4 linked regions of the Mytilus edulis genome follow. The protein of the gene in region 2 purifies or fractionates together with the protein of the main gene of each other region. This does not show direct contact. Links are inferred from orthologs where the notes say so. Each region holds a gene or a part of one and is shown on either strand. Other genes may lie near its edges. The genes, in order: FAD-linked sulfhydryl oxidase ALR-like, mitochondrial intermembrane space import and assembly protein 40-B-like, microtubule nucleation factor SSNA1-like and cytochrome c oxidase assembly factor 7-like.

Region 1 (6,848 bases), on a different chromosome or scaffold from region 2:
TTGTCTCATAGTTGCAAGAATAGTACTTTTCTAAATGTATATACACTTTTATTATCATTCTCAAACAATTAAACTAATTTATAAATCAAAATGTGTTTATAAATATCTTAAATGTATTGCAATTGAGTTTGATCACTGAATCCTCTTTAAAATTCAGGCCAGTATTTTATCTTACCCAGTATTACACATTAAAACCCAGTAAAACCCGGGTTTTCCTAGTATTTCCCACTGGGCTGGGCAATACTCATAAAACCCGGGTTTTTGCCAACCCTGAACCAGATTGCCAAAAACATGGACCAGGGGCACCACACTGACATCATCTTACTGGATTTTTCAAAAGCCTTCGACAAGGTAACACACGAACGCTTGCTTTTGAAACTGGCACACTACGGGGTGAAAGGATCAACATTGAACTGGATAAAGGACTTTCTAAGCAGTAGAACCCAGTCAATTGTTCCAGAAGGACATACATCAACTCCTTTAGATGTAATATCAGGAGTTCCACATGGAACAGTCTTAGGTCCTCTACTATTCCTGACATATATCAATAACATGCCAGAGTGTACATCTTCAGATGCAAGGTTGTTTGCGGACGATAGCCAGCTGGTGTACAGGAAAATTAGAAATCCTGATGATGCTGCAACTCTACAGAGACCTCACTGCTTTGAAAGAGTGAGAACACAAGTGGCAGATGTGTTTCCATCCAGAAAAATGCACAGTCATGAGGATATTTAACAATCGCAACACCCTGCAAACAACATACACCTTGCACTGACACCAACTAGAAGTTTTTGATAGTTGAAAGTACCTTGGAGTTAAATACAGAATATTTGCCAAATTTATATTAATTAAATAAAATTCGTGGCTGCATTGTTACACTTTATTTTGTAATTACTTTTAATTACTTTTAATTACTGTTGATTGAATTTTCATTGCTGATTAGGTATCATTTGAAATCTTTGATATCACTGCTGATTGTTACATGTATATGATAATGAATTGTTTTTGATGGATTAATAATGAAAATAACATTTTTCTCAAATAAAAAAGTCAGCTTGGATGGGTAGAAACACTGATGACAAGTGATCAATGTACAGCAGTGTGACTGTGTTTTTGGTATTTGTTTCACTAATAGTAATTCTATTTAGTGCTTTTAAATATTTGTTTAGGAAATAAATGTGTTAAAATGTATCAATAAAGTTAAATATAGACTTAGTCTTTAATTGTTTTATGTCAAATACTTTGTAGTCTTTGAATTCGCAGAAACTTATCCTCGTAGCAGCAAGACAACATAATACTGAACTTATAGTCTTCAGTTGTTCAAGTTTACACAGAAAACATATCATAAATAAATATTCGGTGAATGTAAACTTCAACATATTCAATTTCATACAAATAATTTAGTCTTCAGTTGTTTTACATTTAAAAGAACAATGTAGGGCTGAAATTCACAGAAACTTATATTTCCTAGTAACATAATTACATACAGATACAAACTTAAGTCCTCAATACCTTGAAGCCACAATATCTTGTAGTCCTGAAATGTACAGAAACTTATACAAATGTTATAATCTAGTAGCTGCTAGCTTTAGACAAGTTAACATGATTCATCGTAAATATTCGACGAAATTGTAGCTTTCGGGTCGATCCGGCCCAAGTCGATCCGTCCCACGTCGATCCGGCCCCACGTCGATCCGGCCCCAATAAAAAATATATTTCTAAGGAATAAAAATAAATATATATATATTAATTGTTATTCATAAATGTTTATTATTTTTATTATAATGTTAAAAGTGTACTATGTGTACGGTAAAAAAAATTAAAAAAGGCCTTTGAAAAATATTTTCACTATACAAATCATTGCGTAACTTCAGTAATCAGCATTAGATTGAATTAAGTGATTACGAGTGACATTACCTTAGTTCACAATCATCAGACAACTGTTGAATATACAAACCAATTATAGAATAATGATTTGATCATTAAATAAGTCATTATGATGCGTTAAATTTTATAGCCGGGTCCATTGGACTGTAAATATTTATTTAACTATTCTGTGTGTGAACTGAATCAAATAAAAATCGCTATGAAATTCAAAGTAAAAGCAGAGACATATATATATATGTCTCTGGTAAAAGTTATCATGGAAAATAACTTTATAATTTAAAAATGTAGAAACTGCGATACAAACAGACACAATAACACTCATTTTTGTATCGATTTAAAAATGGTTCTTTAACTGGTACTCCAATACTTCACTGACCTGTTGTCATCCATCATCGGACACTTTTTTTTCAAATTCCATTTATACTGTTAAAATTTGTGACAAATTTCTCCAAAATCAATATAGTTAATTCATATTTTATTATGGGCCGGATCGACTTGGGGACGGATCGACGTGGGCCGGATCGACTTGGGCCGGATCGACTTTGGGCCGGATTGACTTGGGGCCGGATCGGTTTGGGGCCGGAACGACCGGATACCGAAATTGTAGACTGACTTCAACACATTCAATTATATACACACAACGCAACACTATACTAAAAAATAAAATCAGGGCGAACAGACTCGGGGCAAACAGGTATTAGGGCGAACAGAAACTAGGGCGAACCAGAATCAGGGCGGACGGACCCGGATTCCAGGAAAGGCAACCAGGACCCTCGGGTTTCTCCGCAGAAACCTGTGCCGATGTAAACTATAGCATTTGATTACAAAAAACTTGCATTATATGTCAATTGGTCTATATATCAATATATGTCAATTGGTGGATTATACATCGAGGTAGTTTCCGATCTGATGAAATAAATTATGCCGGGATTACGTCAGACAGTCATAAACGACATACATTTCAACAACAACCTGTATATTTCCTATAAACAATATATAACCTTTTCTGTTCCTCCTGTCCCCTTAAACCAAGTTTCAACGTCTACACATGTTCGACAAGGTTTTTTGTCTGGATCAACGAACGTTCCACTGGAGGCTGACATGTTGGGTGCGTTTTGATTGAAACGGTAGAGCCTATATTCATGATCGGCGACTTCGATCCCGTGAAGTAAAGTATTTTAATGGCATATATTATGCTTTTTCCTTTGCATTTTCCCTTATAAATATCCCTTCTTGTATAATGAATTCCGGATTTCTACGTGTTTTTTAATGTGACTGATTTTTTTTCTGACATCAGACATTAAACAATTAAGGAACGACTAATTAGTTTTCTTTCTATGAAGAAATAACATAAAAAATTTGGTCACACTGAATAACGCCCCTAGCGGGTTATTTAATAGTGTGCACCACATTTTTTATGCTATTTCGAATAGACAGAAAAAATATTACAGTCATTTCTTATAATTTAATTCTAAATTCCATTTTAAACCGTAGAAAACCACGAAAAACGTTGATAACGTCACCGTCACATTACTAAATTATGTCTATGGGCTGATAACAAAATAACGTCAGCCAATAAGAAGACGCGTTACATCCAAAATTAAATTATTAGACAATAGACAATATTTATTAGTACAAACGCATAATGTCATTTACATCATAAATGGTTATGGCATGAGACTACTATAATGTATTATAGTAGTCTCAGGTTATGGCATACAAAATTAAGACAATATACTGACAAAAAACAGCTAAGAAAAAAAAGACTATAAATATGTCGTTCGCCGTCGTTTGTGTTCATTCACAAAACACTGTTTTTTTTTTTTAAACTGGTGTTAGTGATTGCAGAGACACAAAATACAATGTCTCTGGTGATTGTCAGCATTCTTATCAATCAGCTTAATTTCATAAAAGGTTACCATGCCCCAAATTGTATTAACAACAAGTCACACTATATGTAGAAGTTTTAAAACAAAAGTGTTGAAAATAGATAGGTTATATAGATGATCTTGATTATGTTAATTTCTATCTGATTCAGATGAATGTATATACGATAGTATAACTTAGTATATAATTATTTTAAGTAAGTATCTCCAAACGTGCTCACTTTATAGTCGTCTTGTCGTCAATCGAAGGTGTACTTGAATTGGTCTATATTTATCTTTGTTTTAATCAACATCTTAATTTATAACCGTATAATTCGCTAGACATCTATATAGCAACCAATTGCCAAATGTGAGAGTACAGGGGGGGGGGGGGGAGCTGTGTATTTTCTATACAATTTTCATATGCCAGTTTAGCATTGAATAAATACAAAGGTACTTAAACTTTTAAAAGATAACACAACATATAATAAATTTTTTAACCTCTTCATGTTTACACTCTAGAGAAACTAGGGTGGGGCAGGGACTTTAGTATAGAAAGTCCCTGGGTAGGGGAGATCAATGTTAAACGGCTACAGGATTAGATAAAATAGCAACTAAGATATTGCGAGCTAGAGCACTGACTACTTTACCAATAAGATTGAAAATGGAAATGGGGAATATGAGAAAAAAGAGAAAACATTAATTTTCAGTAACAAAACTTCTATATATGACCTGTGTTAGTCAAATGCGTTTTTTTTTTAATATAGTTTTACATGCACACGTATAAAAATTGCTGTTTTTATCCAACGCAAATAGGTGGGGCCTTTTATAGCTGACTATGCGGTATGGGCTTTGCTCATTGTTGAAGGCCGTACGGTGACCTATAGTTGTTAATATGTGTCATTTTGGTCTTTTGTGGATAGTTGTCTCATTGGCAATCATACCACATCTTCTTTCTTTATATTGTCATTGAACGTACATTTTTTCAATTTAGACTTGTTCATATTATATATATATATACATATAATATATATCTAACATTGTTGGGTTGATGTTTAGACGAAGTTGTATATACATAATGTACACAGCCATGTATCACCATCATTGCTGGTGATCCGATGGATAATGATCTGTTGTAGAGTTGTCACTGACTCAGACGTACTTTTTGATATAATTATTTTCTGTGACTGTATCCTGCATTAATTTGTCAGATCCTTTACTATAGAAAATTGAGCTGATCTGTTACAATAACATCTCCATGCCTTACATATCATGTACTGTAGTACGCCGCTAGATTAAAACTGACGAGGAAAGGTAACACACGGCTACCGAAAGCTTAATTATTAGAAGCCCAGGTGGTCGTGTAGTCTAGCGGGACGGCTACAGTGCAGGCTATTTGGTGTCACGTTATATCAGTAGCATGGGTTCGAATCCCGGCGAGGGAAGAACAAAAAAATTGCTTTCTACAGATCTAACATTGTTTGGTTGATGTTTAGACGAGTTGTATATATATAGATAAATATAAACGAGTGTAAATTGAAAACTACGTTCAAACCTATGATTGCGTTGGATAAAACCCGCAATTTTTATACGTGTGCATGTAAAACAAATTTCGTTGTAGAAGGGTCAAAAAACAGCACAAACAACATTTTCCAAAAGACCAAAAAAGTGAAAAAGTATATTTAAACAAAACGTATTTGACTTGCAACTAGTGTTCTTTAACCCTGCTGACTGCCGTTGGCGATTGCCAAATAAAATTGATCACAAGATGTAACAAAATGGATCTTAATATAAATTTAATACTAAACAGAAAAAAATAACTTGTTGCCACGATGTTATGCCACAAACATACGGTGTCAATATATTTTTAGTTCACCAGATGTCTCTTCAAGTGATATTATAGGGATCGAAACGGTATTTGGAAGGCCATATAAAAAGTACCCGCATTTTTAGATAGACTCTTGAATTTGAAGAGTCAATATAGGATGAACGGATCATATAAACCAGAGGGAAAATATGAAACAAGCCCAAACGAAAAAATATAAACGAATCTAAATTGAACACTACGTTCAAACCTATGATTGCGTTGGATAAAAACCGCAATTTTTATACGTGTGCATGTAAAACAAATTTCGTTGTAGAAGGGTCTAAAAACAGCACAAACAACATTTTCCAAAAGTCCAAAAAAGTGAAAAAGTATATTTAAACAAAACGTATTTGACTTGCAACTGGTGTTCTTTAACCCTGCTGACTTCCGTTGGTGATTGCCAAATAAAATTGATCACAAGATGTAACAAAATGGATCTTAATATAAATTTAATACTAAACAGAAAAAAATAACTTGTTGCCACGATGTTATGCCACAAACATACGGTGTCAATATATTTTTAGTTCACCAGATGTCTCTTCAAGTGATGTTATAGGGATCGAAACGGTATTTGGAAGGCCATATAAAAAGTACCCGCATTTTTAGATAGACTCTTGAATTTTAAGAGTCAATATAGGATGAACGGATCATATAAACCAGAGGGAAAATATGAAACAAGCCCAAACGAAAAAATATAAACGAATCTAAATTGAACACTACGTTCAAACCTATGATTGCGTTGGATAAAAACCGCAATTTTTATACGTGTGCATGTAAAACAAATTTCGTTTTAGAAGGGTCTAAAAACAGCACAAACAACATTTTCCAAAAGACCAAAAAAGTGAAAAAAGTATAAATATATATATAGTGTCTAAAAATAACAACAATCAACATTCAATCTATCTAGGCGTGGATCAGTTTGTAAATAAACTGATGCAGTTACTAAATTAAATTATATAAGTGTCTAAGTTAGAATGTAACTTTAACACACTAATGAATGTTATACAATTAGTTGTTATATTTTATATATTATTCACGCAATATTTCGCTAAACAAATTAGCTTCATCGGGCGTGTGCATCTATCTAGTAGGTGAAATCGGATGCATGACAAAAAATATCTTTGTAGCTTGAGCTACACAAAATTTTTGTAAAATTTAACATATTGATTTATTGATGCATGCTCTGTATAAAACATATTTTTGCCGTTTATTGTACATAACATTTTTTT
Region 2 (7,352 bases):
TTGGAATTGTATGCGAATGTCATACAAGTAAAAGCTATAAGTCCAGATTCAGTCCGTCATTTTCTTCATAAGAAAATACCTGTATCAAAACAAGAATATGACAGTTGTTATCATTCGTTTTAGGTGTTTGAGCTTTTGATTTTGCCATTTGATTGAAGACTTTCCCCGGAGATGATATTTTTTTTTTTCCTTTTAACTGTGAACAGAATTTTTTTTTTATTAAAATTGACAATTCCTTTTTAAAAAATGCAGATGAGCGTGCAATAAAACGGTCTTTGTACGAAATTGTCTGATGCTTGTGTATCCAACACAAACACGGAAATTCCTCCGAATTGCTGTTTAATATAATTTTCATTATAGCCACGATCGAATTATGACTCGTCAAAATATCATCCTGGTCAAATGATATGTTTTTGTATGGGGAATTAACCGAATTATTCCTAATTATTTTACAAGACTCTCGTATTAGTACGATTTATATACAGAAAACAACATTATTTGAAAGCTGTTTATCCGCAGGAATAACAACACATTTATCATGAAGAGATATTAGACTTTTTACAGTTTCTCTGAAAATGTACTCGATCATTCACACAGTTTTTCCAATTATGAGACCTGATTGTTTTGACCTATTATGACAAAGCGTCCAGTTCAACTCCTCTTCGTTTAGCCTATGTTCGAGCGTAGTACCTAATGGAATCCATAATTATTTTGAAGTTATAGCTCCAACTGATGTGTTAGGGTTTTATAAACTTAGGACAATGAAATATTACCTTTCGAAATTGTTCATGCTGAAATATGTTTGGATCCCAAGAAATAATGTATGCTTGAGAAAATGTATTTGTACATCCTTTGCCAAGTGCATAATCTCTCAAACATTTGAGAAATTACAAACGCAGTGCAAAAAGAATATTCTAACGTAATGAAACCATAGCGGGTGATGAAGGTGTAAACGAACAAAGGTCATCAAAACTCTCAGAAAGCGATATTAAGTAGATTCAGAAGACTTTGACATTGCGGACCGAGTCTAAATCATGTCTATTTCATTCAACAACGGTTAAGATGAAGAAACAAATCTAAACTATACCTTAAAGCTCAATATGTTGAATTGCAAGATAAAACCCATATTCGTGCAATGTAGAAAATGTATCATTTATGTGTAATTGTTACGAAACGGGGTTCGCGAGTTTCGTGTACTATCTGTTTTCAGAATTCGTCAGATAATTGTTTTTGAAGGCCGTACGGTTGTCTATCATTGCTTACAACTACTTCATTTGAACTTTGATAAAGAGCTGTTTCGTTGGCATTCAATCCATATTTCCTTATCTTTATATACATGTTCCTATATATTTTCCTATAACAGATTTAAGAAGAATTGGTACGAGTGCCAAGGAGACAACTCTCCATCCAAGTCACAATTTGTAAAAAGAAAAACTATTTAAAATTCGGTCTTAAACACGGAGCATTGGCTCACACCGAACAGCAAGCTATATTGGGCCTAAAAAACTACTACTGTAAAACCATCCAAATGGGAAAACCAACCTATAAACGAGAAACAATTATGAACCACATCAACAAACGCCAACTACTAAATAACAGGTTCTTATTTAGGAAAGGTGCAAACAAATGCAGCGGGTTTAAATGTTTAAATGTTTAAATGTACCAACCTTCAACCTTACTATAATGGACGAATATTGTATATTGTAGATATTTATTAATGAATTTGATCATTTTAGTAAAAAATGTGGTAAGGAAAAGAGCATGGATATAATGATCGAGGTTAAACAATGTGGTAAGGAAAAGAGCATGGATGAATGATCGAGGTTAAACAAGCCGGTGACTTCAGTATTTATTCAAATCTATGAATTATATATATTTATATACAGTAAAGACCCATTAGGCAAATAAGGAAGTTCAACTTAAGGATATAAAAACAACTATGATTTAATGGTAATAGTCTAAAATTGAGAAGTCAAATTGATTTTGTCTTATGATTGTCCATTTATAGTTTACCGACGTACGAGTTGAACTTCCTGATTTATTTCGTGTCTTCATTAATCGATTTTGTAGTACCTAGGTTAAAGGTCATGTTATCTTTATCAAAGATGAGTTAGTTGGAATAAGTAAATCCTGTTTCATTTGAATTGAAATGGTGTAATATGTATTTGATGATACAGTTTAAATGAGGAGTGAGTTCTTTAACTATTTAAAGGTCCCTAATTTAAACACAAGTAGGAATTTCCTATTGATATATATATATATATATATGCAGCTGAGAAGAAAAGTGAGTACCTTGTACGGAATTTGGTGAAAGTCTTTTGATGTTTTAAAGGTGAAGCTGATATATAAATTCTGTAATAATCTTTGAATATCCATGCGATTGTCGATATTGCTCATTGGTTAGGACTCAGATTTTGAAATTAATCTTTTTAATGATAATAAATCCGCCTATAAAATATCTAGAGCACCTACGATAAAATTGTCGACTTTGTTGATAACAGATTTGTAACTCTTCAACTATACAAACTATAACAAATCTAATATAGTTTCTGATATAGATATCAGTGAGAACTCTCTCCCTAACGTATAACAAATCTAATATAGTTTCTGCTATAGATATCAGTGAGAACTCTCTCCCTAACTTATAACAAATCTAATATAGTTTCTGACATACATGTAGATATCAGTGAGAACTCTCTCCCGAAACCTTTCGACAGTGGTTGTTGTTTGTTGCTGTTTTTGTTTTTCGTTCGTCTTTTTGTACATTAACTATAGGCCGTTAGTTTTCTCGTTTGAAACGTTTTATATTTGTGATTTCGAGGCCTTTTATAGTTGACTATGCGGTATGGGCTTTGCTCATTGGTGAAAGCCGTACGGTGACCCATAGTTGTTAATGTCTGTGTCATTTGGTCTCTTGTGTAGAGTTGTTTCATTGGCAATCATACGACATATTCTTTTTTATATTGGACCTAACTTTGTGAATAAAGAGAGACAAATCTAGGTATAATTGACAGCAGATATTTTAACAGCAGAGGGTATTCATTACTGAACATTAATTTCAAGAACCAAGAATATCATTTCTTAAATTCACTTTGAAAAAGCCACTTGGAAAGCGTTCAAGTATAAATCAGTACATGAACATAAAGTAAGTTTTACCGGTATGTCAATTTATAAAGGGAATCTACCAAGTGCGGAGATGACTGCCATATTAGTCTAGAGCTTTATTTTGATAGATCATAATCTTTATTACCAAAGTCTACAAAACTATAGGTACAAATTTGAATAACATCAGCATCAATAGATACATTTAATACATACATAAACACAAACTATGCGACAGAATAGCAGAAGGTGTTGTAGTAATACTAAACATTAGTTTGACATTTAGGTTCTTAGCTAAAAAGAAACACCTTTTCTAAATACTGCAAATTTAATTTTAATTAAATAAATATTAACACTCAATGACCATTTTGATATATAAGTATAATGTCTGCTTTACAATTCAAATACAAATATTTTATTGGCACAAACTCAATTACAATAATTGGCAACGGCTCATACAACTAGTATACAAATATCTTGAGTAAATTAAACTGTAATGATGCAGCAATACTACATAGAATATTTTACATATTAAAAAAAAATGTGAAATTACATAAAATCTGCGTGGTCAATCAGATCATATTAATTGTTACTTAATGTTATTTGTTTTCTTTAATGATTTATGTTTACTTATCTCTGCTGTTTCGTTGCTATAGCATATATTATGCTTTTTGCAATAAAGTATTCATTTAAGTATGTATCAAGCATATTTTTATACACCTAATAAGTATTATAAACAAAACTAAACATTACCTTCCTATTTTCATGTTCTAATTAAGTGCTATCAGCGTCTTATGAGCAGAGACATATTACACATATGTGTATATATATCACTTTCCCAAAATGTCTTGAAAAATAAATATTAAGAGTCTCCTTATTCATAACAGAGACATAAAGCATAAAGCATAAAAGATTTATTTAAAGTCGGTTATACATATAACAATACAACATAAGTTCTACATAACCGACTTTAAATAAATCTGTTATGCTTTATGCTTTATCCCTTATGTCTTTGTTATGAATAAGGAGACTCTTAATATTTATTTTTCAAGACCGTGATTTTGGGAAAGTTTCAACCAGTCATTAGTGTTTGACAGAAAAGAGAAAATAGCTGATGTCCTACAGACATCTTCAATATCGCAAATATCACTTTATATTTTCTCTTTTCTGTCAAACACTAATTTTTAAAATATTAAAAAAAAATCATTTTAAGAAGTGCTCCTCAGATAGGAGGAAGGTAACAGCGTACAGAAACATTGACCGTAAGTTTCTCTCCCCATTCTTATATTTCCCTGCAACATGTCTTACTGTGTTGAAGAAGGTAAGGTTATTCACAAGTGTAAATCGTTCAAACAGTTAACTCTAGTTACTTTAAGCAATTCAAAACCTGTGCACAAAGTCAAAAATCGGACGAACATTCTCCATTCCGGTCTGTTTCCTTACAAATTCAACTGGGGTATATACATTAGGATTTCTTATGCAATCGATCTTTTTACTATACTGTACAAAGACAGGTAATGATACTAATCATGATAAACGATGGTGAAATAATAATAGTACAAGTATATTGTATCCTGCACTGCCACGCTTCTCTTTCAAATGGGTCTCATTGGAGTCTAAGCGTCACGCGTGATTGCTGATTTTTTGGTAAGCGTGACGCGTGAATGTCAAATTATTGTGCTGTGAAAACGGGAAATGAAGTCTAGCGGGACATGGGTAATTACAAAAAAATGAGAATTTCTTACGTACATAGTGTAAGCAGGATACAGGAATCTGACAAAATTTAAGCGGGATCCGGGATCAGAACCCCCCAATGAGACCCCCTTTCAAGCCAAGGGTTACATTCTGATTCTAATGACTGTTTACGTCAAAGTTCAATTAGGGGTCGTCTAGATTTGTTTGTAGCATGTCTAGTCCAAGTAATTAATGATATCCTGTAAGGATATTTTAATTTTATGTTGTGACGCCTTCTTTTAATGTCATTTTATTATTGGAAAAATAGTGATAAATGTTAATCTGACCTATTTTGCTTATTAAAAGCGTAATTAAAATACAGTCTATTAGCAGTCACTCATGGTAAGTATGCAAAGTGACTGCTTATGAGAAAGGTGACCTTTCAAACGATGTTCAGAAATAGTCTTATTCTGATATGACCTGCGGCTGGTATAGAGGAAAATTGTTTTAGTGTTTATTTACATGTAGGTACATGTAGAGTTTCCCTTCTTGTGAGCAATAAAATAAGCAATGGCAGGTTTCTACATTGCAGTTTGAAGAAAACATTTGAAATACATGTACATGTATGTTATTCTTCAAGGGGGAATTATAATATACTGATATAGTGATACGGTTTTCAATTCAAAACTTAATTTCGACATTTTGTTATGACCTTATATTTTCAGTCATGCTTATATTGGTACACTGTACATGTAGCTCAACAATTAGAATGGCTTTTGTTAAAAGTTAAAATGTTTTTGTGCAAAACTTAGATGACCATTGAACATGTTGAAAAGAGTTCATTTATATAGAGTAAACTTCCTTTGGGGAGGGGGAGTGATTGAAAATTACAGACAGGTGATCACTGAAACAAGATTCTGGTATTTGTTGTCAGGTTTCACTGTACAACTTTTGATTAAATATAATTGATAATGCAAATTTAAAATTATGACATGTAGGACTGTCCCTGATGTGGTGTAATTATACTAGTCATTGTGTGATGAATAATTTTGTATGCAAATTTTAATTTCAGGGAAAGACAAAGTTGTAATAGCAACTGTAGAGGACTTGAACCAGCCTTGCAAAGCCAATATTGTTATAGAAAAACCCAAAGAAGAACCAGGTAAGATTACAACACTGGCACATCCCTTGGGATAAACTTGATACATGTTCTAGAAGTAGAACCTATATTTTGTAGCAATGCCTTCAAATGGAACTAAGTCTCAGAGTTCTTTTGTTATAAATAGTTAAAAATGTAACTGTGAACAACCTTCCAACCATTGAAAGCATATCAATGAATTCACGATTTATATAAGGGCACTGTTTTTATGCTTCATTTGTGGGCATTATGTTTTTTGGTCTGTGCGTCCGTTCGTTCGTTTGTCCGTTTGTCTGTCCCACTTCAGGTTTAAGTTTTTGGTCGAGGTAGTTTTTGATGAAGTTGAAGTCCAATGAACTTGAAACTTAGTACACATGTTCCCTATGCTTTCTAATTGTAATGCCAAATTAGAGATTTTCCCCCAATTTCAAGGTCTACTGAACATAGAAAATGATAATGTTGATGGGGCACATTCTTGTTTAATTATAAGTTGTCGTCTAACTTTGATACTTACTTAATACATGTTGATATACTTTATCTTTGCTTGTACTACACAGCTACTTTTGCATAGATGCTATTTCTGTACTAAAAATATGTAGTACTGGAAATTTACTTTTAATATTTAGTACTATTTCTTTTACTTTATAAAATTATTGTAATATTTAGGTACTTGTATTTTAATACAGTACTTGAATTGTACTTAATATTTTGGTACAGAAATAATACAATATTCCATGTTTGAAAATCATAGTTTTAAGAGATTTGAAATAGAAAAACTTTCAAAATGCTGAAAATGTAACAGTGGTAACCAAAAATCTGTAGTACATAAATTTCAAGTACAAATTAATTACTGTAAAATACAGGTACATGTACCTAAATATTACAATAATTTTAAAGTAACAAAATAGTACTGAATCTTAAAAGTAAATTTCCAGTACTACAGATTTTTAGTACAGTGTGTAGTACAGAAATAGTACCTATGCAAAAGTAGCTGTGTAAAATTACAGAGTTAATGAATTTATTAGTGTAAATATGCTTATAAACATGATAAACAAAGTCCAAAGAATGAACAAATATATCTGTCACTTTTCAAGAGTTAAATTCATGAATTATATTTTGTGTTATCTCCCTTTGTACAGAGATATATTTAAGAGATAACTATATTGTAGTTGATGCTTTAAGGACGTCCATCGGTAGTTTTACTGTCGCAAATTTAGTTTACCTGGTGACACGTAGGGGAGACAGGTAAATGGGTATTTGCGACAGTAAAACTACCAATAGACGTCCGAAAAGCTTCAAATACAATACAGTTATCTCTATTCTAATGCAAAACAAGTTCATAATTAAATTTCAATCATTATTTTAGTGTAAATTCTTCAATAAAGAAAATTCTGTGAAAAGATGTTATCTTCTTTGGTCCCAACACTAGATGACGTCA
Region 3 (6,919 bases), on a different chromosome or scaffold from region 2:
ATTTCCTTTGGGTCAGTGATCAGGACTCCTTTCCGTACACATTCCTCGGTTTTTAATATAACACGAAGTTTATTGACAGAACATTAGCTGATCTTAGCTCGAAGTGTTGTTTTGATTCAGAATTCATAGAAGTTACTTCCGGAAGGGAGACAACTAGAAACGATAATATGGAAGACTCCATTTCGCCTGAAGGTACCAGTCTTGTATTACAACTCCAATTTCCGGTGCATGTCAAAACATGGACGGAAACAAAATAGTGCATTTTTTTCTGAATTTTTTTCTGAACTCAATTTTTTCTGTTTGATTATAGGTTTATGCTGAATTGAAACATATATATAGACTTTAAAAAAAATCTTGCATCTTTTGGGGATATCAATCCAGGAAAGTGGAAGGATATCATGTTTACTGGAAGTGGTGCGTCCTAGTAAAAATAGCAAACAGAAAGTAGAAAAAAAATGTTTTGACTTCAGGATTGCGTAACTTTTTATTCTTTGTGGCAAGACCCCCTTTTTTTTCGATTAAATCACAATTTCACATTAGTACATACATGATATGAACATGAATTTTTTTTTCTATGTAGCATTTTTTATTTTTTTATTTTCAAAGATCAGCTGTTTTGCATGTAAGCCTATGGAGCAGTCAATTACAAGACTGCAACCTGAAGGGGTGTTTTACGATGCGGACTACATTTATTTTGATTTAAATGATGCATAAGATTTAAAATTATGCAACAACAATAACTCTCAATAGAAGACATACATAGAAAGGATCCCATGAGTTATAAATTAGTTAATTGAGTGGGGAATCCAGAGCAACCATTCAATCTAAAACTCCTTAAAGTCAAGAAACAATACGCATGCGCATAATTCCAAAACAAACCCTTGAGCAAGAACGTATATTAAATGTTTATTAAACGACCTAGATGGTTCTCTATTTCTTTATGGAAGTACAATCTCAAATATCAGTTTCATAACGGTAACATATAAGAAAAACTCTTCTAATCAAATTTCTTTATTTGTTTCATAAGTATGATTTTCTTTCAGCATAGTTGTCTGTCTCTTTAAACTGTTGATCAGTAGTTTAGACGTCTCATTTATCTGCAAAACAAAAGATGACTGTGAAGGCATGCGTTAATTTCTCACGGCAAAATATTTTCATATAATTTATCTATTATAAAAAAAATGTGGTATGTTTGCCCATGAGACAACTCTCTACAAGAGGCCAAATGACACTGAAATTTACAACTATAGGTCACCGTATGGCCTTCAACAATGACCAAAGCCTTTACCGCATATATATATAGTCGGCTATAAAAGGCCATGAAATGACAATGTAAAACAATTCAAACGAGAAAACTAACGGCAACATTTTTGTACAAAAATGAATGAAAAACAAATATGAAACACATAAACAAACGACAACCACTGAATTACAGGCTCCTGACTTGGAATAGGCACACACATACATAATGTAGCGGGGTTACACGTGTAAGCGTGATCCCATCCCCCCCCCTAACCTGGGACGGTGGTGTAACAGTACAACATAAGAACGAACTATAAAAATCAGTTGAAAAAGGCTTAACTCATCAGATGGACATTAATACAAATACTACAAAATTACATAAGTGGACGTGGCAGGGTTCTTGGATATCCCAACAACAAAAATTAAGACACTAAATACAGATATGGGAGTACTCGCATATACTGACAGCTAGTTCAAAGCCACTATTTTATAAGACTGAATTATCAATCAGTACACATCCAACATCCAATTGATTTAGTGTAAAGATGTCATAAAAATATGATCAAGAGTATTCATTGAAGAAATGATTTTATAACAAGCAATCAGGAATGTTATGTCACACTCGATAATATCCACGTATTCAATATACGAAATACGTTTCACGGTTTGGGTAGCGCACAAGGGACGTGTGTAGAAATTTCTGCGGCAACATAACACCGGTCTCAAGGTCACATCCGAGGTAAAAATCAAAAATTAAAAAATAAATAAGAATAAAAACAAGCTCTGTAGTTTAGCTGCAACCTGAATCTGCAGTAGTTCGAACCTTAATTCTAAAGCGAAAATTAACCCAGAGTTTTAACCTAGAACTTGAATATTAACTCAAGGTTATACTCAAATTCTTACTAAAACTGTAATTCAATGTTTAACTCGAAGTCTTGAAGAAAATTCAAATTATATTACACTCCTATCTTTATCATGTTTACATTTGTATGTAAGTGGAACTTAAAATTGCTAAAAAGATTCATGTAAAACATAACCTAGATCAGCTTTAATGAAATAAAATATAATTTGATAGTGTGTTTGGGTGTATTTCTTTCCATTCCTTTTCACCGAATTTTTTTTTGTACATTTGTGGCAAAGAGGGCAACTGAGATTCCACATTACTGAAGTATATTCGGGATGAAATATACATAAAAATGTGATTCAAAGTATAAGATTCTGAAGTGTTTTCTTACGACCGACAGGTGCCACATGTAGAGCATGATCTGCTTACCCTTTCGTGGTACCTGAAATCACCCCCAGTTTTGTGTAGAGTTTGAGTTGTTTATGGTCTTTAGTTTTCTATGATGTGTATTGTGTACTATTGTGTGTCTGTTTATCTTTCTTTTTTTCTTTTTTCGCCATGGCGTTGTCAGTTTATTTTTGATTTATGAATTTGAAGTCCCTCTGGTATCATTCGCCCTTCTTAAATGTTTACACGACATGAAACGGAATTTATTCATAAAGAAGAAAAAAAATAGTTTAGTCATCAAAAGATATCCAAGTTTACCTTTGCAAAGTTTTTTTCTGCTTCGGTAATTTGATCGATAATTTCTTTGCTTTCTTTTTCCTTTCCAGTAAGGCTTTCGTCTACTTTCTTCAGTCTATCAAGTCTTCCTTTAATTTCCGTCTGAAGTCGTGAACACTCGTGTGCTAATTGCTTTTTGTCATATTTTTCGTAGGTTTTCTCCCATAATGGAATTTCATTTAATCCATCAGCCATTTCAGGTCTAACTTTTGGATTAAATGTCCTTATATTGAGTTTGTGGAGCTTCTTAGAGCCTATCAAAATATACCGAATGAAATATTGTAATGTGTAAATTTCAAATGTATTTTCGTTCATAAATTATTAGATACTGACACATGACGAATATGAAGGAATATTCACATATACATGTATCATGAAATCGTTATATATATAAGAATTACTAATTTTATTGATGAATTTATTTTTCTTTCCGTTTAATGAGTGACTCAGTCTTTAATCTGTTGTTAATATTAAAAATGAGTTTCGACATGATGATTGACTCTCATTTGATCATGTCTCAAAATTTCAACAAATAAGATTGACCGACCGAAGCAATGCATTTCTATTTTAAGTTTAAAAACAATACCTTGTTGTTTGTCACAAATTCCACCCATCTTTGTGTTTGATTTCCATAATTAAAAATCTGCAAGAAAAAAGTAAAATTCAGTTATAATAAATATATTTTTTAACAGAAACCGGTTATGGTAATCATTACATTTTTGTTTTGGTTTAAAAAATTAACAATAATCTTAACCATTTATTGATTATTTCACAAAAGAATTTCACACAGAAACACACTTGTATTTAAACTTTCAATTCACTAGCAGTAAATTAAGCTGTACGTACGTACAGCTTAAAATTCAGTGATGTGATATTCGATCCGTTATTTACTTTGGGTGCTAAAGGAGGGGGTAATTGAATTATGAAAGTTCGAACGCTTGAAAATTTCTTTTTCTCTATTTGTCTCAACAATTCCTTATCCTATATTTCTTTATTTCTTTTTTTTCTTTCTTATCTATCCTAAATATATACGTTTTTGGCGACTCGAGAAAAATCCGGAATAATATCGTCATTATTCCGTAGCCGAAACACTTTTAATTTGAACAACATTCTTTATGACGTAGAACTCATTTTTGCTTATCAACACAAAAAGTGCAAACAAGTTTTGACAGCGAAACTCAAATTTACTTCATTCATTTTTTTGCTCTCAAGCGCCCTAAATATGTCGCAACAAGGGGCTGCTTTACAGAGTTATAATAACGAACTCGTAAAATGTAAGTAACAACCGTTAAAGTTTAGCATTTCATTCGTAACAAACATTTCAAGATTTTTTTATAAAACCAAGTCCAAAACAAACACACAAATACGATATATAATTCCAGAACTTAGTTTTCTATCAAAATTTCCTTTTAAGAGAGTTTTTGAACACAAGAAAACTATTGAACCAAGTAGTTAAGTCGAAATAATTAATCAGAAAATTGAACGAACGTCATCAAGATTATTTTGGTACCATGGTAGACAATTATGGTACATTTGTACATAGTCCAAGATTACTCTGACGTCCAACGGCTGTTTTGCCAGACAAGCTGGGGCCGTGGGACGTCAGAGCTCGTCCCATATCAAAAAGTGGACATTTGCAATGCCCACCCAAAAGAGATGCGCTGCTTCGTCGCTATTGATGCCGACTGACGGCCTTGGAATTATATAAATCGGGCATCAATCTATTAATTTTTCATTTATCTCTTCATTTATGTAAGTTTCACCTACCTGCGAACCTTTATTTTTCCATATTTTAAGTTTTCACAGTTACCCATCGATTTCGGCATTTTGACTTTCATTTTCAAGATAATTGTTTTTTACATAGATCTTGGTTCCTTTGAACTCATGTAAAAAAAATATTTATAGCAATACACTAACCAAAACATGATCATGATGATTAAGATTTTATCAACACATAAAAAAAACGTTGTCAGAATCTCACTTTACTTAGCAAATGCTTAGAAACAATGAATTAATTTTTTTATATAGAGCAGTACACTTGCCTAAACATGATTAAGATTTATTCAACACATTAAAAAAACGTTGTCAGAATCTCACTATATGTAGAAACAATGAACAAAAAATATTTATAGCCATACACTTACCAAAACTCGATTTTTAAATTATATTATTATACAGTGTTCTCCCCAGATATTTCATATAGCATCCTGGTGAAAAAGGAAATTTGAAATAGCATTTGGTTTCTAAAAATTATAGCATCACATCCATAACACAATCTATAAGAAAATGAATTCAGATAGCATCACATTAAAAAATATAGCATCACATTGCCATGATGCTAAAAGGCCATGGGGAGAATACTGATATAAATAATACCAATAAAAATTGTGCGCTAACGTGTAGGGTGCAAACAGACTTGAGACCTGTGCCAACGTGTAGGGTGCGAAATTGAAAGGGCACGAACATGAATGGGCGCGAACAGACCGATTCCAAGTGAAGCAGGATCTGTTTCTCTATCATGAGCATGATGAGGCCAGGGTAGTAATGCCTTTTACCGTCAGGCGTCAAACAGCAATTTTCGGCTACTGTTAGCTTCAAATTGATTAAAATTTTTACCCCCATTACCACCCTCTTTCATGTCTATCGGGTGAACAAAATTTCCTGAATATTCTTATCCTACATAATGTATCTGTCGATATATTCTTATATTTGATTACAAGATAAAATTAGCATACACATATAGGAAAGTGTTTCATGTTTTGAAATAATATTAATAGCCCTACAAGGAAAAAATTAATGGTCGCCCATTGGGACCAGAAATTGACCTGGGCAATCTTTTTATTCAGTTGTGGTAGCCCAGGTGGCGAATTGAAAAAAAGTACTTGACTAAAGGAAATCAGCTGTTTACTTTAGCTCCAAGTGTGGGCTGCTTCACTGACAAAAAATATCAAATCAAAAAGAAGAAAAAAATCTGTTTAAAATGTATACAGGCAAGTGTCAAGAGAAGTATTGTCGTAAAGTCACGGTCGCAATACACAAGGATGTAAAATCAGTGTTTACCTTAAAGCTTTGACTAAATATTATAAGTTCACGTTAATTCAGGTCACTGATTGGTCGTCCATTTAAAGTCGTAAAGTATCAAATGTTTGTAAGGACATGAAGGATATTAAGAGAGACATTCCAATACTTATAGTCATCAAGAATTGTTCGGTTTTGGCTTCAAGAAAGCGAAGTTAGTCAAAGAAGATGATAATAGAATATTATGAAATGATATCAGTCTGACAAATAGATATAGATTCTACCACTGCATCGAGGTAATACGATATTTATCCACTCCAGACAGTCAAATTTTCAAATATAAAACTCAAGGCTCGCCGAGCGATTTAAATATTTAAAATTTAACTGTCGAGAGTGGATAAATATCGTATTACACTAGATTTGGTGGTAGAATCTGTATCTCTAATGATTTTTAAACAATATGCAGGCAAACGTATTCCTTTCTTTCGAATGATCTGCAAAAAGATGTGTACTTTCTATGTGACGTCATCAGACACGGTCGCCTTTTTTCATGCCGTCACAATAGGAAATTCAGAGGAAAGCAAGAAAATTTGACGTCACAATTGGATTTTAACCAATGAAGCACTGAGATCAAACGAACCACACTTTGATTAAATTTTTTATACAATGGGTGCAGAAAGGGATAAATTGACGAAGGATTAGAGAAAAGAAAGTATAACATGTAATGTTGTTATATTAAGAATCTGGAAAACAGTACCTTTTGTAGTTTTGTAGTCCCTTTTCAAAGCCCATGTGGTGTCCAGAGAGTGAAGGTCTAAAACGAAAGTAGAATATTGTTGACCACAAATAAATAACATAAGTTCAAAATGATTTCAGTTTCCTACTTGACTAAACAGTTTACAAAAAAGATAAAATCAGATTCAGAGTAGATATAAATTTCATGACAATGCTTTTGAAATACATGTACAAATCTTTTTAGAAAATAAGGGGGGGTCATTTGTTTACAAATGAACTTAGTTAAGCAAAATAAAATGACCAAGATATTTAATAAGGCCAAATAATAATATACAATGTTACCCGACATACCCTTGT
Region 4 (7,619 bases), about 120 Mb from region 2:
AAGCTTTCCCTTCAGCATAATATATGTTTGGCTTACCTCTTAAGTCTCAAATTTCCTTTCAACATTATGTGTCTGTCATGTCTCCCTCAAGATTTTCTTTTAACATTATATGTTTGTCTTATCTCCCTCAATCTTTCCCTTCATCATTATTTGTTTGGCTTACCTCCCTTAAGATTTCCCTATAGCTACAGCCTTATTTATTTGGGTTACCTCCCCATGATTTCCCTACAGCCTTATTTGTTTGGCTTACCTCCCTCAAGATTTCCCTTCAACATTATATGTATGTCACGTTTCCCCCAAAATTTCCCTTCAACATTATATGTATGCCTCGTCTCCCTTAAGATTTCCCTTCAACATTATATGTTTGTCTTACCTACCCATGCTTTCCCTTCAGACTGTTATAGGTTTGTATTACCTCCTGAAAGCTTTCCCTTCACTATAATATATTTGTTTCCTCCCCAAAATTTTCCTTTCACTATAATATGTTTGTCTTACCTCCCCCAAGCTTTCCCTTCATTATATATATAATGTGAATATATGTGTACCTCCCCTGATTTTTCTCTTCAATATTATATATTTGTCTTACCTCCCCCAAGCTTTCCCTTCAGCATCATATGTTTGGCTAATTTGTTACAGCTATCCCCATGTTCATTATCATCACAATTTGTTTGATATAGCTTCATTGCTTTCTTTTTGTCAATTTTGATTGTGTCATAAAATGATGCTAATCTATAACACCCTGTAAAAAAACAAAGAATTTATGAAGTGTGATAATATACAATCTTTTATGGAACCATTTATATATTAGGTTAGGCATTTCTCTTTTTTTCCCTTCAAATACTGCCCACATTAATCAACATGTTGAATGTAGTGGCAAGTTCAGCATGTATTTTAAAACCTGTTTCTAAACAGTTTCCTTTTTTAATGGTTTTACACTAGTAATTTTGGGGGCCCTTTATAGGTTTATGTATTGTGTAGTTCATGATATTCAAACTGTATGTATACTAGACTATTGTTTTTTTCTTTTTGTTATTATCTTATTTATGTCTTAACTTATTATCTTATTTATGTCTTAACTTGTACTATGCTCCTTGTGAGACCTTTTAATGGAAATAAACATCTTCTTCTTCTGCTGTTCAGTTTGAGACAAGGATTCGTGTTGAAGGCCATACTTTGACCTATAATGATTTACTTACTAACCCCACAAACTTCACATCAACCTCATTAGGTATCAAAATCCATACTGGACATCTAATAGCGAGGACTTGTGTGCATGTGGGTTGTGTGATGACAGATGTACTATTTTATTTTGCCAGAGTGGCTGTAAAAAAACTTATTTTGACTAATAATTTTGTACATCAGACAGGACTTTCGACTACAAAAGACTCATCAGTGACACTCCAATCAAAGCACTTTAAACCCCAAATAAATTAAAAATTGGTTGAAGAGAAGAGTCATTGATGACCCAAAATTCTGAAAGTTTTGCAAAATGGGTCTCACTAATTTGCAACAAGAAGCGTCAAAAGCAACAAGAAGAAGAATTTAGCGTCAAGAAAACTTTTTAAAACTTTTATTCCAAATAAATATATATAAAAAATATACCTTGACATTTTTTTAATATATAGGCAGTAATAAAGTGATTTTCTTTTATTATTTATTATATTGATAGATGAAGAAATTAATCATTCGTCATGAAAGAAGTTTTTATTAAATATATTGAATATGTTTAAGTTTTAATTTTGGAACACCAGGATTAAACTGTTTGCAAATAAGAATATGCATGTAAACTGTATTTCGTTTACTGTATTTCCAGAGTAATCTCCAGAGTCAACAAATAGTCATATAGCCCAGCTGAAGTTGAAAAAAGATGAAATGCCATTACCATCCTCATATTCTTGTAGTCTCAATGGATTAAAAAATTATTATTATTGCAAAAAATGTGGCAGGGTTATCATGGTTATAATCAAAGCAATAATTTAAGCTCGCATTTTGATTTTTTTAATATGAATTAAATAGGATTTTCCTCAAATATCGCAATATTACAATTGAGTTTTAGTTTAAAATGAGAAAATCACAATAATAAATTCACACAAAAATTTCTGAATTTACAATAATTAACTATAGGAAATGAATTTTTGTATTGAGCTTCCTGTTCAAGATATAGATATCAAGATCCAGGAAAGGGCAGTGTTTGTTGTAGGTATTAGCTTTATTCAAAGTCAGTTCGTCAGGATAAATCTCTTTAGGGTACATACTGAAGTTGTCATTATTGAGAGGCGATATATCATCTAAATATCTAAAAGTGTTATTAAGTTTTTGATACAGATGTTGTTATAATGGGTCTTTGCTGATTTCAGTCATAATTTACAACTCAGAACAATACAGAAACAGGTCGGCAATAAGTGGTGCACAGTTAGTCCCCATGGGAATTCTGATTATTTTTTCTATACATTTATATTTATTGATAGAATAATAACTTTCTTGTCGCTAAATTTAGCTTAATTTGTTTTCTCGTAGCTGAATAGTCTTCTTGTCGCCATAATTTTTCTTGTCATATATTTAATAGTGAGACCATGCAAAATACATCTCAAACATTATCATCATACGGGTTTTGATCATCAGATCATTTTCTATCATAGGAACAGAAAAAAAGGTTAAAATCGACCTCATCCATATTTTTGAGCCTGACAAAGTCTTTACTATAAATGTTACTTAAAGATATTTATATCCGGAAAAGCGACCAGTATTCATTTTCTTTCACAAATTATTCGATTGCGTTCTCCAATTTATGTTGTCCGATTTGCAAACTTACCATCAGGATTCTTTTCACTAAAGCAGTGGAATGAATACTCGATTTCTATATTTTTAAGGTAATGTTTTACATCTTCTTCGTTCGACAAATCATACGAATAAGGGGTACTGGCACTTGTTGCCATTTTATATAATTGAACAAGTGCGACCTTGAGTTGTCGAAAGTTGAACTGTGGTTTGCCACCAGATGGCAGTTCGCGCCAGAATAATCAAGTAGTAAGTAAAACGTTCAACAAATGTTCGATTTATTTCGATGACAGCTTTCGTTGTTGGTTTTGACAATTATTTCGATAACATACTGTGTTTCCCATTATATTCTTCATACATTTCAAACTGTTGACAGTGCAAGGGTGGTGCCAGATCGGGTTTTTAATGTTTGACAGTTGGCATGTTTACATCCCAGCGGCCATGTTTGTTATGTTTTCATCATTTTGAAGCAAAAAAAAAGTCCTTAAGTTATACGATGTGTGATTTTTCTCAAATATTGACCAGTTTCTGTAAACTTATAATTTGATTTTATTGTCAACTGCATCGAACCGATGACTGTCATAAGATGTATAATACTTCAAAAGTGCTTTCTGTTTTGTCAAATAAGTGCACATGTTGATTTCATCAGATACCAAAATACACTTAAAGCAAGTACCTTAATTGATATCTTTAAAGAATTTTCTATTTAAATGTCCTCTTAAGCGTATAAAACTTGCACATACAATATTATATTGTTTGTGAAGAAAAACTTCCTGGTATAGACAATACTTATTAGCACAAACACATTTACATTAAATGATTATGGCATACAAAATTATATGTGTGTTGGCTAATACACCTTAGTGCTAATCCTGACTGACCCTAAAATTTGTCCCGCTTGAACTATCAACTTCATACAACAATCACTTTTTCATTGTGGCATCAGATATCTTGTATAAACGTATTTACACTTTTGGTATTTAGCTGTATTGTGCCTCCGAATGACCTTTATATATCACCTCCGAATAACCTTTTGACGTCAAGCAACAATCACCTTTAAGTTGTGACGTCAAATGTTTTGAATTATGATGTCAACATTTACGGGAACCTGTGTGATTTTAAGTAATGGCGGACAAATTTGCATACAAGTGTAAATACGTCAATTATGACGTCAAAATGTACGGGAACTTGTGTGATGTCCAGTAATGGTGGACAAATATGATAAGGTGTATAGAAACTATAGACTACATGTAGTTACAATGAGGGGGGTAGGAGGGGTCCTGATCCTGAAATCCCGGGCTTAAAAACACGAAATCATGATCAGGGCCCAATTTTAAAAAATCTAAATCCTGAAGTCCCGAAATTTGAAAAAAAGAATTTCCGGATCCCGAAAGGGTCAATTCTGAAACCCCCAACTTAAAAACACCCGATCCCGGAGTCCCAATAAAGGTCCTATCCCCCCTCTACAATGTAAATACAATACGCTTTATTTTAAAAACACTTCAGACTTCAACGCACGAATGATGTTCACGAAGATCAAAGTTTTTGACGGAAATGCATCAAACTCGAAAGTTGTCTATCATGTCTATTGACTTATTGTGCAAACCTATTTAATATCTGACAATAAAATTATGTACATGTAAACACTCATGATTCTTGACTTATCATGTAAAACAGTGATTATATTAACCAGAAAACAGTGACTATAGTCAATACCATCGTACTTCACAGAAATGCTGATACAGTACTTACTTCTGTCTGCTTTCTTTCAACCAAGAGAGTTAAAACAAGATGCATTTCTAAGGTTTTCATAAGTATTTATTAAAAGGTGTGTTGGTTGTCCTTAAGTCAGTACAGTTTTATTCTTTTATTTATAAGAGGGGAGATTGATCATGATTAGGGTTTTATTTTATTTTCGATAAATCGTTAAGTGGGGCAAGTTTTTTTCAATAGAATTTTAATCTTTTTCATAAGTAGGGCGAGTTGTCTGATATATTTTCAGTGTGATTTTTCCCTTATTAAAAGAAGGGCGAGCTGGTAAACAAGAGAGGGGCGAATTAGTGTGGGGTGATTTGCCAGTGGGGCAAGTTGTCATGAATTTATATAACATGAACAAAAATGTACCAACTTTTTAACGACAGACATAGTTATTGTTGTATTCAGCAACAGCTAGGGGGTTCACTTGAATGTGGCTTCTACAATAGGTTTCATGTCATTCTGGCCTAAGATGTTTTTGCCCCATGTTTGAAATAATCTATACCATAGGGTTAAAGATTAAGTACACTTGCATAAGAACAAGAGAAAAAACAATGGAATATTTTTTAAACAATTCCCTGTTAACATGGTTAAAATGCAGGCACATTTGTCAACAATCCTATATAATTGTTAAATGAACAAACAAATTCACACAATGTCATGAATGTGTAGCAGTGATCTGGAAGGATTTTTTCACTATGGGCCAGGCCCCCCCCAACAATAAATTCAATGGGCCATGTTGTCAAATGAGTGGGCCATTTAAATTGACCACTGTAAAAAAGATTGGTATCAGTATATTTGTGCAGAGAGGTGGTGGTACTTTAAAACCTTTATGATTTTAAATTATATCATGGATATTGTTCCTGTGATTTTGTAATTTCAATTTCAATGAATATACAATAAGTTATTTTAACTTCCTACAAACCGGACAATATTTAAGATAACCTTTATTTACAATATTCAAACTGGTTTTGTTGCCTTGTACATGTTCATGTTTTTTTTGTACATTACATTTGGGTCTTCGTCGAAACCATACTTATTCCAGACGTTCCGTATCAGAGGACATTTCTGGCATTTCCTCTGCACTTCTTGTATTATTATTACTTCATGACAATGACAAGACTAACAGTAGAGAGTATCGTTAATTGATAGAACAAAACAACAATTCGCTGAAGTCATGTTTACAAAATGTCAAAACGAGCCAAAGACCAAAATATGACAAGAACAGTTAAGCGCCTTTTGTGGAGACAAAAAACTATATTCATTCAAAGGCTTTGGGGTTTTTCAATCGAAATGATAGCAAGCTAAACTAACTTAAAAGATTATAATTAGAGATAAATCTTGTCTTTACTAGCCAAATTTCACAAATTTAAAGTTGTTTTTAAGAAATTATATCAAGAATGATAGTTAATTACGTTTTTTGGGTAATCAGTTAAACCGCATGGTTCTATTATTACCATACGAAAACACTCGAGACGTTAAACCGCATGGTTCTATTACAATATGAAAACACCCGAGACTCCCAAAAATATATAGGTGCTCCTATCATTGGAGGAACATTACATAGTTGTGTATACACACATGGCGGTAAGGAACACGATCGGAAATCCATTTGACGATATCTAAAGGTTTCGAAACGAAGTGAAAAATATCGTGCGCCACGTGGGCGCTTACATTTGTCACTCTATGCGCCATTTCTGGTCGATATGCGCTATTGGCGCAGGGCGCACGTCCTTCCCGATCACTGGTGTAGTTGGTGACAAGTTAAACATCAATTAATCAATTGGTGACAAGTAATTACAATGATAACATATGTTCAATATAAAAAAGTGCCAGTATATGCACTGCAATTGTCCGTTTTTTTGCAATGATCATATTGTAACCACCACCAGTGATAAAAAATACTGGTCTAAGTCTCATTTTGGCCTTCAGTGAACTCTTTTGAAAGAGATGAACATTTTGTGAAAGGCTTTAACACTCTTTTTTTTGGGGGGAAGGGGGGGTCTAACCTTGTTTTACTATTTGGATATTGGGCCCTAATTTATATTTGGGTCTACATTGATGTCCAAAGGGTCATTAAACTCTGTTTGATCAAAACCTGAATTATTGTGGCTCTATAATATACTGAATCTTATATTGTGCATTTATATTTTTTATTTTGGGCCTTGTTTTCACCCAATGCTGGTGGAAGGCATAATCATCCTGATCTACAGATCACCAAAGGCCATGCCTACATACATGTAGGATACAACGTGCGTTTACAAAATATTTTGTACACACATTGATAATTTTGTATTAAACACAAACTTTTTTTAATGAACCCTACTCTTGAAGTATTAAGGCACATAGTAACGTTCCTCATATCAAGCTTTTCAAAGCTTTTAACATCGATTTCCAAACAAATGCTTTGAAACTCTAAATGCAAGTATTCATGTCAAATGCTCACATGATACCAAACGGACTAGACCTTATACGGGAAAGATAAAAACCCGAGAATTCCTGTAAAAAAGTTTTGAGCGGGGAAATACAAATATAAGATTTTTTGTAGGAACGGAAAAATAAAATAATATAAAATCTTGCTGGTAAATACAAATAAAAGATTTTCAGGCGGAACGAATTTATAGGGTCGGTCGGTAAAGGGCAGACAAACAATATTTTAATTTAAGCCATACATGTATCAATGAAAACAATGGCAATTGTATCCCTCAGAGCAATCATGCTCTTTGATATTTTTTCCTTTTGCAGATAATTTTGAAAGTGCAAATGTTAACTGTAACTCAATTTTGATTATTATCATTTTGCAATTTATTAAACATTATATATATATGTTATGACTCAAATATGAATTATTAATTTCAGAGATTGGTTTGAAGACAACACGATACAGGTGTAAAGATATAGATATGTCCATTGAAATGTCTATCTGAAAACAGGTACAAATTAGAGATCCAAAATTGTGATAACTAGAAAAAGAAGAAATATTTTAAGATACATTATTTTACATGTTGTAAGGATTTCTTTTCTATAAATCCAATCTAGAAAAGAAAGAAATCTAAAAAAATTAAAAGACACACACACATTGATCA

What was found.
Region 1: the proteins of mitochondrial intermembrane space import and assembly protein 40-B-like (region 2) and FAD-linked sulfhydryl oxidase ALR-like purify together in Homo sapiens (co-immunoprecipitation; 3 studies listed by BioGRID and IntAct, with this or other methods). This does not show direct contact. The link is inferred for Mytilus edulis from reciprocal best matches to the Homo sapiens genes CHCHD4 and GFER.
Region 3: the proteins of mitochondrial intermembrane space import and assembly protein 40-B-like (region 2) and microtubule nucleation factor SSNA1-like purify together in Homo sapiens (co-immunoprecipitation; 3 studies listed by BioGRID and IntAct, with this or other methods). This does not show direct contact. The link is inferred for Mytilus edulis from reciprocal best matches to the Homo sapiens genes CHCHD4 and SSNA1.
Region 4: the proteins of mitochondrial intermembrane space import and assembly protein 40-B-like (region 2) and cytochrome c oxidase assembly factor 7-like purify together in Homo sapiens (co-immunoprecipitation; 3 studies listed by BioGRID and IntAct, with this or other methods). This does not show direct contact. The link is inferred for Mytilus edulis from reciprocal best matches to the Homo sapiens genes CHCHD4 and COA7.

What each region holds. Positions count from the first base shown.
Region 1 is NC_092352.1:29,569,995-29,576,842, forward strand, and holds the start of FAD-linked sulfhydryl oxidase ALR-like, read right to left. Parts: upstream 3,027-6,848; 5' UTR 2,991-3,026; coding exon 2,889-2,990; intron 1-2,888.
Region 2 is NC_092344.1:2,158,788-2,166,139, reverse strand, and holds the start of mitochondrial intermembrane space import and assembly protein 40-B-like, read left to right. Parts: upstream 1-4,352; 5' UTR 4,353-4,401; coding exon 4,402-4,423; intron 4,424-5,007; exon of another isoform or gene 5,008-5,028; coding exon of another isoform or gene 5,029-5,038; intron 5,039-5,848; coding exon 5,849-5,938; intron 5,939-7,352.
Region 3 is NC_092345.1:24,957,479-24,964,397, forward strand, and holds the start of microtubule nucleation factor SSNA1-like, read left to right. Parts: upstream 1-3,910; 5' UTR 3,911-4,031; coding exon 4,032-4,083; intron 4,084-6,919. Other genes in the region: uncharacterized protein, read right to left, coding at 1,002-1,097, 2,792-3,063, 3,396-3,423. UniProt on the Homo sapiens protein: Microtubule-binding protein which stabilizes dynamic microtubules by slowing growth and shrinkage at both plus and minus ends and serves as a sensor of microtubule damage, protecting microtubules from the microtubule-severing enzyme SPAST.
Region 4 is NC_092344.1:118,813,649-118,821,267, forward strand, and holds the start of cytochrome c oxidase assembly factor 7-like, read right to left. Parts: upstream 3,006-7,619; 5' UTR 2,937-3,005; coding exon 2,813-2,936; intron 740-2,812; coding exon 587-739; intron 1-586. UniProt on the Homo sapiens protein: Required for assembly of mitochondrial respiratory chain complex I and complex IV.